Struthio camelus: one gene and its partner. The protein of the gene in region 1 purifies or fractionates together with the protein of each later gene. This does not show direct contact. Links are inferred from orthologs where the notes say so. Each region holds a gene or a part of one and is shown in the gene's direction. Other genes may lie near its edges.

What was found.
Region 2: the proteins of STX18 (region 1) and SNAP29 purify together in Homo sapiens (affinity purification with mass spectrometry; 3 studies listed by BioGRID and IntAct, counting the BioPlex papers as one, with this or other methods). This does not show direct contact. The link is inferred for Struthio camelus from reciprocal best matches to the Homo sapiens genes STX18 and SNAP29.

Annotation. Positions count from the first base shown.
Region 1 is NC_090945.1:72,822,466-72,829,462, reverse strand, and holds the start of STX18 (syntaxin-18), read left to right. Parts: upstream 1-3,909; 5' UTR 3,910-3,958; coding exon 3,959-4,123; intron 4,124-6,997. UniProt on the Homo sapiens protein: Syntaxin that may be involved in targeting and fusion of Golgi-derived retrograde transport vesicles with the ER.
Region 2 is NC_090958.1:9,921,955-9,929,874, reverse strand, and holds the start of SNAP29 (synaptosomal-associated protein 29), read left to right. Parts: upstream 1-4,882; 5' UTR 4,883-4,902; intron 4,903-4,904; exon of another isoform or gene 4,905-4,980; 5' UTR 4,981-5,001; coding exon 5,002-5,202; intron 5,203-6,566; coding exon 6,567-6,763; intron 6,764-7,745; coding exon 7,746-7,831; intron 7,832-7,920. UniProt on the Homo sapiens protein: SNAREs, soluble N-ethylmaleimide-sensitive factor-attachment protein receptors, are essential proteins for fusion of cellular membranes.

The DNA of each region.
Region 1 (6,997 bases):
GTAAGCGAAATTGCCTTCCTTTTGATATTTGGTTCAGTTTGTAACCTTATCATCACATAAAGAAAGTTACTGTTTTTATGCCAGAAAAAATAGAGAACATATAAAATGCACTGGGTATAGTTTTCTGCGGTCAGGGCCAAGTTAGGACCTTAGTAGCTGGACTGCATTGGAAGGAAAGAAGTGCAGGAGCTTTATCCCTTCCATTTACCTCTCATGTAAAAGGAACTTAACTAATCATGAAGTTACCTGTCTCTGAGCAGAGATGAACCCATCAGCCCCTCTTGAATGGACGTATTGATTGATAACTGCAGCAAAGCTTTGATCTCCTTTTGACTGGCAGGTTTGCCCGAAGCATTTTACTGGACATGCCTGTTAAGCAGGTACACCAAGACCTGGTGATCATCATGCAGTCCTCATGCTGCGTACAAGGCCATTATACTTTGCAAACTCCTATCTCTTCCTCTTCCCAGCATGCTTCTGCTGAGGCATGACTGAGTGCCCAGTGCGTGCATTTTTACACATTTACCTGCAGCACTTATGGTGGGACTGTAGACCTTTGTGTGTGTTTTGGAAATTTACTCCAACCTTAAAAATCTTAGATTTCCAGGTTAGCCTTTTTAGCAATTACAGGAAGCACCAGCATGTACTATTGAAACCTATCTGCTCCAAAGTTAGCTTTATACTTTCAAAACAAGGTGGCTGTGGAAGTGCAAGTAACTACTGAGTAGATGCAGTTACTGTATACAGGAAGCTAGGATCAAGTTCAAATAAAAGCTCTGGGCACCAGTTCTTAGCAACTGATTTTAAAGTAGTTTGTAATCTTCAAAGCTATCTATTTATCTCTACAGCAGAGGCCCTGGGTATTATATACCTAATGAGTTAGACCATTTGAGCAACCTTCTTTCAGGTTAAAAAGGTATTTTAACTTTTTCCTTTACCAGATTAGTTGTTCAGTCCATTTCTGACAGATGAGATCAGCTGTAAGGAATGTTAATACTGTGTTTCTTTTCAAAAATGCATTACTATTTATTTCCTTGTGCCTGAGTGAAAGTTTTAAGACTGTATAAGTACGAGAATAGCCTGTATAATATTACTGTTACTGTTTTGGGGTGTTTTTCAGGAACTGCTGGTCACATGCACACTGTTGTTTGTGGACATAAAGCCCAAATAAATAAGTAAAAGTAGAAATAAAGACACAGTCTTGGTCCTGAAGAGTTTACAGCCAACATCTTGATCTGATAAAAGGGTTATGCACTTAACCGTATGTGATATGTGTGGCTCTATTGAACTCAGTGGTATTCATAGTATCACAGAGATTAAGTATGTGTATAAGTCTTTGCAAAGTTGGGAGGGAAATTATACTGTGTTTTTTTAGAATATACTTTGCCTTAATGAACTGCAGTTTCTTTTTTTAATCCAAAATCATATACAATATTTTAATTATTTATAAGTACCTAAATTTCATTAGAAAATGAACAAACTATAAGATGACAGGCACCAGTAAGCTGTTGTTTCTAAAACCAGGAAGGTAAGATGAAGATTCAAGTTTCAAAATGACTTTGATATTCTTACAGTTTAAATGTACAAAAGCAACATTCTAAAATCAAAAAAACAAACATTCTTATCCAATGGGCACTTAAACAAATGGCAATATTTCAAGTCAGTGTAAATGTTAACTTCATTGAACACTGGAACACGGTATACAGCCGAGTATGCACAAAAACACAATTTAATTCTGCCACTTACATTTTCAGGACCATATTACTTTGGGCCAAGCTGTGAAGCTCTTATTACTGTTGGCAAGAAGTTACCTGTGCAAATGTCCGTGAAGTAAGGTGTTTGTGAAGTGAGGCATTAGTACTCTAAGAATGGCAGAATCAAAGCATCTGAAAATTATCCTAACACATAGCAATGGTAAACTTACATGTCAGAATTGTCTTCAGTGAGTTTCAGATTAGGCATGTCTGTGATCAGTGTGAGACACTCCTGGAATTTTAAGTGTGCTTGCTTTGCTTTTGGTAATGCAAAGTAGAAATAAGTAATTTCAGGACATATACCTGAAAGTATCTAATTTAAATGTAAATTCCATGCTTTATTAAATACGTACTTTGCTAAAGCATCTCCATACTGTATTTCTTAATCTTAAAAGAGCAAAGGTGTTTGGCTCTAGTTTTACTCAAATACTATTGGCATTCTTGGAATGAAAAGTCTAGTCTCCTTAGTTGTCCATTTTGTTAATATCTATCTTTAATATGTTTTCACTATAAATCCAGCACCGAGGACAGTGACTTGAAGTGTATATTCTTTTAATTAGAAATACATATCCATACTGCCATAAAAACACAATTTAGATTAGAACAATATTAACAAAGTATGAATAAATACTAATCACAATGTAACTGTGAAGGATTCACTAATCTACAGCTCAGACTGAACTGAAGAGAACTGAACTGAAAGCAGGGTACTAAATAATATTGGAAGAAAGCCTGTTACTATGGAGCAAGTAGGAAAAATAAGCGTAGTTCATTAAGTTCCAGTTTGCTGTGGAAAGGCAAAATTTTGAAGGTCTGTTCTGTGGAGTCTGTGTGAGGAAATGTGCTTCTGGTCAGTTTGAGCTAAGTTAAAAAGTACATAGCATCTGCTGAATCCCGGGGCGCTGTGGCATACATGTAACACCACCAGCGGCTGTGTGGTCAAAAGTTTCCCCCTCTGAGCCACGCGATTTCCTTTCAAGTAGCTTGTCTACCTGTGGACAGAACACGGTAATGAATCTGTCTCAGTAATAATAGTAGCAAAGGTTATTTCACAAAGCTTTCTTCAGAATCAGTTAATGTGAATTGTAATTCACAGTGTGAGATATCTTTTGGGTACCAACATGACATTGTCCCAGTGTCAAGTGGTGTCAGACCTCATGGACCCTGAAGATCAGCTTCCGCCCAGAGAAGAAATCTTTGTTGCACATCCTAGGTGTGTAACAAGGATACTTTATTTATACAGTTTGTGAATGAATAGTCAAAATACATACAGATATGACTACTTCCTCCAGAAATCTCACACCAGTACCAGTCCCAGATCCCAGTGCAAATCTGCTGTTGTGTATTAATCAACTAATTAACCTGTCTTTCCATGCACAAGCTATAAACTTGGAAAACTATGTATGTCTAACAGCTCCACCTGGTGACACCTACCGTGACACCCCAGCTAGGTGGTCTAGGCTGCAACGCTTTGTTGGAATGACTTTTTTTTTTTTCAAACGTGCCATAGCTACTTTAGCCAAATCTCCTTGAAAATGCAGTTGATAAGAAGTATTTCACTTGCTAAACTGGAGTACTGTACGCGCAGAGAACGAAGCGTGTGCTGGTGGGGGTGTGTGCGTGTACTTGGGGGGTTCGGGCAGTGTCCCTGTACTGCCAAAGCTTTCAGGCGTAGACAGGTCTTTAAAGGGAGGTAATTTTGTAACAGCCAGGTGTTTTCCTTTCATTCAAAACCCTGGAAACCCCAGGTAGCTGCTGGGTTAAAAAAAAAAAAAAACCCTGGGAGACCGAATTATGTTCTTAAAGTTATATGTGGTTGCGGCCGAAGGAGCCGGAGAGCAGGGATTCAAAGGCAGGGCCCTGCCAGGCAGCGCAGCTGCCCATCCGCTGCAAGTGCCAAGACAAATGAAATCAGGTTGAACTGCCCCCTTCCCCCCGCTCCGGTGGCGAAACGCAGCTCGTGTTTCGCTCTGCAAACGCTGCCATTCGCTAGGAGGAGGCAGCAGCCAGGCTGCCGCCTCGCCGCTAAGCCCCGGCCCGGCCCGGCCCGGCCCGCCGCCTGCCCACGCGCCGCAGCCGGAAGCGCCGGCGCTCTGCGGCGGGGCGGAACGCGCGCGCCGGTGCCGCGTTGCGCGGGGAAGGCGGCGCGGGGGCACCGGCCGCCGGCTGGCGCGGCGGGGGGGGGCGGGGCGCGGCGCGGCGCCATGGCCGTCGACATCACGCTGCTCTTCAAGGCCAGCGTGAAGACGGTGAAGACCCGCAACAAGGCGCTGGGGGTGGCGGCGGCCGGCGACAGCGCCAGGGATGAGCTGCTCAAGCGCGGCGCGGCCCGCTCCAAGAGCGACTTCTCCAGCCGGGCCCGTGAGGTGGTGAGTGCGGCGGCGCCCTGCGCCTCCCCTCCCCCCCCCCCCGGGGAGGAGGGGGCCCAGGCGTCCGGGGCGGGGGGCATCGGCGGCCCCGCGCGGGCCGCGGCTGGGGGGCGCCTGCCCTGGCCGCGGAGAGGCGGAGGAGCTTGTCGAGGGCGGCGGCGGCGGCTTCCCGCGGGGCGCGCCCGCCTCTCCTGCGCCGTGGGCCGCCGCCGCCGCCGCCTCGGGAGGGGCTGCAGTGTATGTGTGTATATGTGTATGTACATATATGCGTGCTCTCTTCAGGTTTTTCTTCTTGTTGCGCAGTGTGGCTGTGCAGTGCCATTTCTAGATGAGCCATGTGTAAAAAAAAGAGAGAGGGAAAAAAAACCTAATCAGAACATTTTAAGAGTTGAAAAGCTAAGCACTGAGGAATTGAGGGCTTACGGAGCTAAACTGACCAGGAACGATAACATCCGTAATCAGCAGTAGTGCTGTAAAAGCAAATTTCTTGTAGATTGTTTTCCTCCGTACAGAGCAAATGGTAGGGAAAAAGTTTTGATGTCTCAGTGGGATTTGAGTAATGCACCTGGGTTAAGGCACTGGACCAAACTTTGCAATTCAAACTAACAGGAAAAGGCTGTTCAGGGCACTGTCTGAGAAAACTCTTACAGAAAATGACATATAATGGTGTAAAAACCACGTCATGATGCACGTGCAAGTGTAGGACTACACCACGAGTACACAGGCAGTCTTGTTTCTGACGTTTACTGAGTTCTGAATGGTTTAGTTTTCAAGGACAGAGATTAGTGTTAAATTTAGGTCTTACTTAATTATTGTTTTCCAATTTCAGAGATAGTGTTTTATAACTAATGTGTTTTATAACACTTAAAGTTTTATTTTAAGTCGTTCAGTGATTGCTTTGAGGCTTAAGAAGGGTGACAACTTGGGTATATGTTAAATGAACATATAGTTATTAATCCCCTATTAAAAGTTGATTTAAGTGACTTGCTTAATATTGGCTATGAGATCTGTGGTAGGGATCTATCTGTAGGGATAAGACCAGTCTGTAAAACTACGTTCAAGATCTTTGATCATGAGATGTACTTTTTTTTGGGGGGGCATCTGCTGATTTAGCTAAAATTATTTCAAATTCTGCAGCCTTAGAGTGAACAGACTGCTTTAGACTTGCAGTAGAACAGGGCAACCTTTACACGATTTGTGTGTATGTGAATTCCTAGAATTTTTAAAAAGGATTGAAATTTTATCACATGGCATCATATTGACATTTATCTACATCATCAACATGACTGCAACTTTTAGTCTGCTATTCAGAACTCCAGCGCTTGGGCTAATGCTGGCAGCAGGTTGTTATCCTCTAAGGGTTTAGCACTAGACAGTGTCCAGATGTTCTGCCCAAGTGTTTTGCAGTTATTTGCTGAGGCAGAGCAAGGGAGAAATTTGAGAATTGTCGGCTTCCATCCTAGATATTCGTATAGCCACAGCCTTGTATTCGCTTCCTCCAAAGCTTTAACCCTCTGCTCCGTTGCTTCCAGTACTGTCTGTGTCTGCGCTTTGGTTCCTTATCTGCAGTTGCATTCGCTTCAGCCTCTCTCCATATTTCTAGGTTTCTGATCATAGAAGTAGTCTGTATTTCAAATAATTTATAGCCTCAGATTGGATCCGTGCCCGCTTCTTCTTCCTCACCCCTCTCTTCTCTGTCTTCCCTTCCTGCCACCAATGCTCCCTTGAACTTGCTGCCTCCCAGGTTTCGTCGTCTTTCTCAAGTTCTGTTCGTACTCAGGCCCAGCCTCACCTTCATCCTCTCCTCGCTGCCCAGCCATAGTCCTGTGCTGTGATGACGTGCTGTAGGAGTATACTTTTTCTGCTACCTTATTCCTTTTTTGCCCCTATTCACATTTATTATTGCTTGTCTTCTGTTATCTGAGCTCCTTGTCCTTTCTTAGTTTCCTAGGAGCACTGTCCAGGCAATAGAAAGGGCAAAGATATGGCTAAAAGCATCTGTTTAATTACAGCAGCTTGTTAAGGGTGAAGTAAACAGTTAATGCCACAGTGGATGAACTGAGCAGTCTTTTTGAGGGGAAGAGGAGAATGAGTTTAACTGGTGGTAGTCGCATAAACGATGACTTGGAGAAAAAGGTAAGGCCAAAAATGTGTTGCTGAGCACCTTTGAACGTGATTCCTGTTAACTGCTGCTGAGTGAGTACGAGAGAGTGCAATAGATTGGGCCTGGTCTGTCTCTGCTCCTGTAGTTTAGCTGTATTTGTGACAGTGGAGCCAACAACCTACCAGACCGGAGAAGGATTTATGACAGCTTTTTAGGCCTTCTCTAAGATCTAATTCTAATGGGGAAACGCAGCATATAAACTACAGTGAAAGGGGAGGTTTTGTAGTAAAATTGATCATAATTTTGAGTGCTTCCTTCAGCAAAATACAATTTGACTTGAATATGTATTTTTCGAAAGCTTCTTTCAAATACTTTGTTATAGCCTTGCTTGTTATAGCCTAGCAGCAGTTTAGCTGCTTCTGCCAAGATTAAGCAATTTAACTTGCAAGTGTAATCTCTGATATACACATTAATTCTTTAACAGGTTTCTAGTTTTAAAAGCCCCCAAAAATCCAGCGAATCCTTCTCTGCCTACATACAGTTACTTATTTTTTTTTTTTAAATCTGGAGAACATATCAAACTCTTATTTTAACTACTGTTATCTTTAAAACTCGTCCCAAAAAATGACGTTCAGAACCCACACAGAATAACATGGGAGACCCTGAATAATTTATACGTAGTCGGAGCTCTTGTTATGCTGCATTTGGTTGAGTAATAGTTGAAGATCTCCATTTGACAATGAAGTATGGAAATGTTGAAATATTTTATG
Region 2 (7,920 bases), on another chromosome or scaffold:
TTAGCTACACACAGAATTCAGTTCAGCTAATCATTATTCCATAGGCTGCCTGAATACTGCAAAATTGATTTCAACACAAGCAAAAAGAAGTCAACCACTTAATTCAGTGCTGTAAATCCAGTCATGCCGTTCTAAGCAACAGCTCATTCACTGTAAAAGCTGGGGTTAATTATTACTCTGAATCTTTTTTCCCCCCCCCCCTAACTCATGTATTAGCATACAGCAAAACACACAGCAATGTCTCAAAATAATTTTAAGGTTGCTAGAAAATCAGAAGTTCCAGTCTATTCATTAACTGCTACTTAAGATTTGCAAACAACCACCTTTATGTTGCCTATAATCCCCCATAAACCTCTGTAAAACAATTTAACCTTTGCTTTCCCTCCTCAATAAGCTCTACTTTGCTATGATGTCCACAAAAAAACATGACAGCAGTTTGGCTATGACAGTGCCTTGACCACTGCCTATCACACTCCTCAGTACTGTCCTTACTTCCTTGTGCTCTCCTGCCTGTAATCCATCTGCTATCTGTGACCTTGTATTCAGTCAACTTTTTAGAGCAAGGACGCTTGCATATGCGTAACACATTCATGATTTTAAGGTTCTTGACACTACAGTAATTCCAGTGTACAGTAAATACCAACTTTGCATCCACTGAACAACTAAATTTGAATTATTCTAAAATCTTTCAGTGAAATACAATTAATATGAGGGGAAAAATAATACCTGAAGATCAGATTCAATTAGAAAGATTCCCAAAGCAATTACAGCATCTCTGCGACGTTCATCTAACTGGAAAATCCCATGGAAATCCACTGGACACATACAGAGCAGTTTTTGTACCTGAAAAACAGCGGCGGGAAAGGCCAGGAGAAGAAGATCAAAACTGTCAAAACACATTCCAAAGTAACAACAGCACATGTCTTAAAACTGCCTTTCAAATATCCACCAGTAGACCTGAAGAGAGCAATGCAAACAGCTCCCAGCTTTTCATTTATGGAAAAGAGAGCTGGCCATCACATTCATGCCCTAGAGTACAGCAAGCAATAGGCCTGGGTAGTACTAATGCAATTGCAAATATTCTCACAGCAGAGAAACAAGCTGACAGGCTGCAATTTTCAGAAAGATTCGTTTAGACTTCCTACAGCTGAAGCGGACAGTAGCATTTCCCTTTTCTGCAAGGGAATCAGATGGCCATATTACCCCTCCTGTAGTCATCAATCTTTTAATGAACTCATCTAAGGGCTAGCTAGGAAAGAGTGAAGAATGACAGATACTAGAAAAAGATAGAAAATTCTACAAATAACTGTCAAACATTTACCACAACAAGGGTAAATTTAAAAGTTTTCTCCAACTAATTCATTTGGGATGTGCAAGAAATACGCAACAGGCACACACACATAGTATCTACTCAATCCCTGTAAACAAGAACTAGGTGGATAGAGCTGTTGTTACAGTTACACCAATGCTTTCTTCATACACAGCACTCCAAAATAAACTCTGCTGCTTAAATAAGTGTGACTTTTGCTCAAATTCTTTCAATGTAACAGACTTAAGTATTTTCCCCACTGCTTACCTATTACTTCATTCCATACCCAGCTAACACACAACTAAAGAATATACCAAAACTCTCAGATATTTAGTTTGCCTACAGAACAGTGAAAAGGGGAAAAATGCAGGCATACATACGGACTTTCCGTAAGTCTCCTTGATGCTAATAAACACTACCAAGAAGAGACTGTCATAATGAATACTTATGTTTGAATGTCAAGTTCCTTCCTATTTGGATAACTCACTTTAAACATCCTGCCTTGAAATTTCTAAACCAAGAAACTGTCTCCTTAGAGAATTAGAAGAACCTACCGGGGCCCAGTGCAAGCTAAGATTCTGAGCCTTACACTGTCCTACCTTGTAATTACAAAACCTGTAATACAGTTTTAATAATCCTCTTCCTTAACATGAAGTACAGCAAATGAAAGAAAACCTTTGGAAAATAACTTCTAATGCGTGCATTCCACATCAGGTTATTATGCTGAAAAACATGAGTAAATACCTTTAATGAGATATAACTGTTAATATAATTTAACTCCTAGTGTAGACTCTTATAAACTACAGAATCACTGGATCCTGGTGAACCAACAGGGAGATATAAAAGATTTATTTACAATTGGCTGTCAGACTAATGGCAAATTTCCAAAGCAAGAACTAAGAAAGAAAGTCCGAAAAGCTAGCCAAAAATAAGTCACATACTATAGCATCAGCACAGAGCTGTGCTTTTCAACAATTTAGTCATCTTTCATTAGTGTGTGAGGCAATTTAGGAGTTCAACCAATTTATGCAGAGAGAAGCCAACTACTGAAACATTAGGCTGTCTTATTTCTCTTTTTCTGCACAACTTGAATCAACCAGCTGTTTCACGTGAGCAATAAAGACCCACAAAGGAAACTGTTTCCAAGACTAAAATTCACCTATTCAGGTTTGCATTGAATCGATCTTCATCTTAATCGGACAGTTTTCACCTTTAGGTGATTGCACCACTTTGATTTAACCAAGCAGACCCAGCTATGCTAATCAAGCTGGTTATGTCTCAAGACTATGTTCCACGAACTCCCGGGATCCACAGTCACCCCGCAGCTCTCGAGGACCCTTTTCTCCACATAGACAGCTACAGAGCGGTTCTGAAGCACGCACGACCGTGGCGCCCTCCTTACACAGCAGCACCTCAAGCCACGCAGTTATTTACGTCTCAGTAAAAAGGAGCCACCAGAAGGCCACACGCCACCTCGGCGCAGGCGCAGCGCTCGCAGGCAGCGGCCCCCCGCGCGCACGCTGGCCCGCACAGCTAACCGCAGCCCCCACGGCCGTGGCTCCCACCTGCAGCGGGACACGCTCATCCTCGCCTCAGCCCACGCGCATGACACGGCCGCAGGCAGTAGCCTGGACCACGCATGCGCAACAGGCTCCGCAGCCCCGCGCCACCCACGGCCGGGACGCGCGCCCCCCGCGTGCCGGCCTCGAGGCCTCCCGCACAGCACAGCGTGCACACGCAGCTGTGACTCGTGTGGCCATCCCGACACGCAGCCGGCACGCGCGACAGCCTCCCCTCCCGCACACACGCAGCCCTGACACACGTGACGGCAGCCCCTTCCCCTAAGCAGCCCCGACACGCGTGACAGCCACCCCAACACACATGAACAGCCTCCCCTCATGCACACACACAACCCCGACATGCATGACAGCAGCCCCTCCCACACACACAGCCCCGACACGCGTGACAGCCACCCCAACACACGTGAACAGCCTCCCCTCCACGCACACGCAGCCCCGACACGCGTGACAGCCGCTCCTTCTCTCCCACAGCCCCAACACATGTGAGCAGCCTCCCTCCCACACACACAGCCCTGACACACGTGACAGCTGCCTCAACACACGTGAGCAGCCTCCCCTCCATGCACACACAGCCCCGACACGCGTGACGGCCACCCCTTCCCTCACACAGCCCCGACACACGTGAACAGCCTCCCTCCCGCACACACGCAGCCCTGACACGCATGACAGTGGTCCCTTCCCCCAAGCAGCCCCGACACACGTGACGGCCACCCCTCCCACACACACGCAGCCCCGACATGCGTGACAGCCACCCCAACACACGTGAACAGCCTCCCCTTCCACACACACAGCCCCGACATGCGTGACAGCCACCCCAACACACGTGAACAGCCTCCCCTTCCACACACACAGCCCCGACATGCGTGACAGCCACCCCAACACACGTGAACAGCCTCCCCTTCCACACACACAGCCCCGACATGCGTGACAGCCACCCCAACACACGTGAACAGCCTCCCCTTCCCCCACACAGCCCCGACACACGTGAACAGCCTCCCTCCCACGCACACGCAGCCCCAACACGCATAACGGCTGCCCCTTCCCCCACGCAGCTCCGACATGCGTGAACAACTTCCCCTCCCACCACGTACACGCAGCCCCAGTACGTGTGACAGCCTCCCCTCCCACGCACAGGCAGCAGCAGCACGCGTGACAGCCCCCGACACGCAGCCACGACACGCGTGAACGGCCTCCCCTCCCCCCACGCAGCCGCCTCCCCTCACACACGCATACAGCCCTGGCACACATACCAGCTACCCCCACGCAGCCTCGACATGCACGACATCCTCTCCCCCCCCACGCAGCCCCAGCACGCGCGACAGCCTCCCCTCCCACACATACAGCCCTAGCACGCATAGCAGGTCCCCCACACGCAGTCCCGACGCGCGTGGGGCCTCCTCTCCCTCACACACGCAGCCCCAACACGCGTGGCCGCCCCTCCCCACGGACGCGCCCCGCGGGACCCCGCTCCGCCCTCACCTTCTCCAGAGGCGCCGGGCTCTGCACTGCCAGCGACCGCGCCAGCGACAGCACCGTGTTGAAGTAGAAGCCGCGCGCGGTGCCCGCGCTGCCCCCCCGGCCCGCGCCCGCGCCCGCGCCCGCGGCAGGAGCAGCCGCCGCCGCGGCCGCCGTTGCCGTCGCCGCCGCCGCGGCCGTCGCTGCAGCCGCGGCCGCCGCCGCCACTGCCGCCGCCGCCATGTTGTGGGGGAGGGGGAGCCCGCGCCTCGCCCCCAAGACGGGCCGCCGGCGCGCCTCTCGCGAGACCGCCGCCCTCCCCGCGGGACCGCAAGGCGGCCAATCGCGCCATAAAGATGGCGGCGCCCGCCGCGGCTTCACTGATGGAGGGTTATCATCGTCCCCCCCGCCTCTTCCCCCCCCCCCCCGTTGCCGTGATGGTTCCTGCCCGCCACCGCCCGCCCCCAGAGGAGCGGCCGCGCGCTCGCCCCGCCCCGGGGGGGGGTCGCCGTGGTTCCGCCCGGCGCGGCGGCGGCCTGCGGGCGGAAGGAGCCGGGGGTGAGCGGCGGCGGCGGGCGCCGTTGTGGAGCGGGGTGCGGGCGGCGGCGCGCGCTCACTGCGGCCTCTTCCTCACAGGGCGAGGCGGGCGGCGGCACCATGGCGGCGCCGCCGAGGAGCTACAACCCCTTCGCGGCCGACGAGGAGGAGGCGGCCGAGGTGGCGGCGGCGGGCGGCGCCGAGCGGCAGCGCTACCTGCAGCGGGAGGTGCTGCGGCGCTCGGCCGCCACGGCCGACAGCACGGCCCGCTCCCTGGCCCTGCTCTACGAGTCGGAGCGCGTCGGCGTGGCCGCCTCCGAGGTGGGTCTGCGGGGCGGCGGCCGGGCCGGAGCCCCCCCAGCCGCTCAGCGTTCCGGAGGCAGCGTGTCCCTGGAGGACAGGCCTGCTTTATCTGTAGAGCCTCGAGACTGCAGCTCCGCTGTGTTTTCCACAGCTTTTAAGCATTCTTACAAGTGCGTGTTAATGGTTACTGATTTTTATCTGGGTGAAAAGTTCTCCTGAAAGCCTCAGCTGTTCCCTTGCGTACATGACAAGTCTGCTGGAGTAGTTGTTTATGATGGGCCCGGTTTTATCCCTGTTAATCATTTCCTTCGTTCTTTTGGAGTTGTTTCAGAACAGGGTTTACCTTAAGAGACCTCATTAGTAAAGGCTATGTGGATTATGTCACCCGTTAATGGGGTGTTTACTTGAACGTTAGTAGCATGATGACCTGTGTCATACTGAGACCATCCACAGGCTGTCATAGGTAGTTAGGCTGAAGAGGGCTATTTGTGTCACTTGTGTGAGCTTGCCAAGGTGTGATTTCTTTTTTTTAAGAGAAGCCCAAAAAGCAGTCGAGGACGTAGACTTGATGTAGGGTTAATGGTAGAATTTGAATTGTCTGAGCTGGATTGCTTGAGTGAGGAGGTAAGTATATTCAACTAGAATTCACGAAACTTTGGAGAGAATATGAGTCTACGGTCTTTATTTCTCATTAGTGTTAGCCACAGGCAACTTTACTGCTAGAATTAATCTTTGGACTGCTTTGGAATACTGTTTGTGCCCCTGAATTAGTAAATGACATAGCTGCATGTATCAGGATTTCTAAATCCTGCATTTTGGGTATTAGCACCAAAAAAAAAAGAATAATCATGCAGTATGGAAAAATTCTAGTTATTTCCGGTAGTAATTCTTTTTCCAAATTATCTAGAACACCACAGTAATGTGAAAATAGTGGATGAGACTTTCATTGATAGGGGATACAACTAGAAGCAATTCTGTTTGGTCATTGCCATTCCATAAGCCACATGCGATAAAACATAGTTTTCGCTACATCACCCATCTGGTACAACGCTTGTTCCAGCAAGAACAGATAGAAATTTCAACCTGACAGAGGGCCAATACAAAAACTTCCTAGATCCTGTTTGTAGTAGGTGGCAGGAAACTGGGCTTTGCTTAGTTATGAGAATTTTATAGCTGGTATAGCATATCATTGTGGTTGACTAGCAACTCTTGATTGAAATGCCCTGGAGGAAAAGGAGTAAGTGGAAAGGCTAGATGCCTTTAAAAATAACGTGGATAGATGGAGGAACTCTGTTAAACATTCTTCTTCAGAGTACCTGTTAAAAATGTTTGATATTGCAGTTTATCCTTACTAACTTCCCTTTTTCTGTAAATATTTTTAGGAGCTTGTACGTCAGGGAGAGGTACTGAAGCGCACAGAACAAATGGTAGACAAAATGGACCAGGACTTGAAGACTAGTCAAAGACACATAAATAGCATTAAGAGTGTTTTTGGAGGCTTGGTAAGCTACTTCAAACCCAAACCTCCAGACAGCAAGCCAGAGCAGAACGGAGCCCCTGAGTATAATGCTCACAGTAGGTAAGTGAAATAAATGTTTTATTTGGGTATGATAGTACTTTCTTGGGGCCAAGCAGGAGACCTGCCTGGAATTAAACATTTTTTGTGAGGTTCTGAATCTAGCGTAGTTCTTTTGAAGTACTTCGTAAAGCGAGACATAGACCAGTCACCTACTCCTCCCTTATTCTGTTATCAGGGCCCCTCACTTTTTACTCTGTGCATACACGCACTGTGTTCTTCCATACTTCTCCAAGTACCAGGCTCCTGGGGTTTTTTTTCCTGCTTTTTGTTTTTTTTCTCCTCAAAGTCTTCTCAAAATTTCCCTAGTTTCACTCGTATATCTTCCACCTAAACTCCTCACCTAATCCATTTACCCTTTTGACCTTTTTTGGATCTCCAGTGGCATGTCTGAAAAGTCAGCGGAAAATTGGAACTTAAAATATAAAGGGAAATCTGTTGATCCTTTTTCCTTTGACTCTGCTAGAAGTATTTTTACTTTTCTTTATGTTAGTAGTGATAGGAATAACATCATATTTGTAGGAAATGCCATCACAGGTAATTCCTTGGAGCCCTCTGAATTATTGCGCCTACTCCAGTCTTATCAGGAAATCGAGATTTGCAGCATCGACATGCTTCCTGTTAAATGTTATGTATATTTCTCTACCTTTTATTAAAAGCTGTAAATAAAAATAAATATTGTGAAGGTGAATATCTTACAGTACTTATCTCTCTTCAGCCATCCCCTCCCCTCCCCACCCCCCAGAGGAAAGGAATAATTTGTCCCCAAGAATGAGGAAGCAATTTTGTCTTGATATCAAAGCTTTGATATCTTCAGCACCATAGGGGCCTATTGTGCTTTCACTGAAGACAAATGACACTTAAGACATGTTGAACTGGGCCTAACAAACTCACTCTTCTTGGACAAAATACCTGTTCTTGTTTAACAGATTCAGACTCAAGCCTGTGGTACATAAGAATGTTTTGTTTTTCTCTGCGTTACCAGATTAAAAGAAGCAATGATGTCTAGCAAAGAGCAAGAGTCAAAATACCAGGAAAGTCATCCAAATTTAAGGAGGCTAGATAATTCAGGTTTGTTAATTTTATTTTATGTTGAATGTCTGTCCTCCTCCCAGTAGAGGAGACTTGCACAGTGGTAAAGGCACAGACCCTTCAGCCTG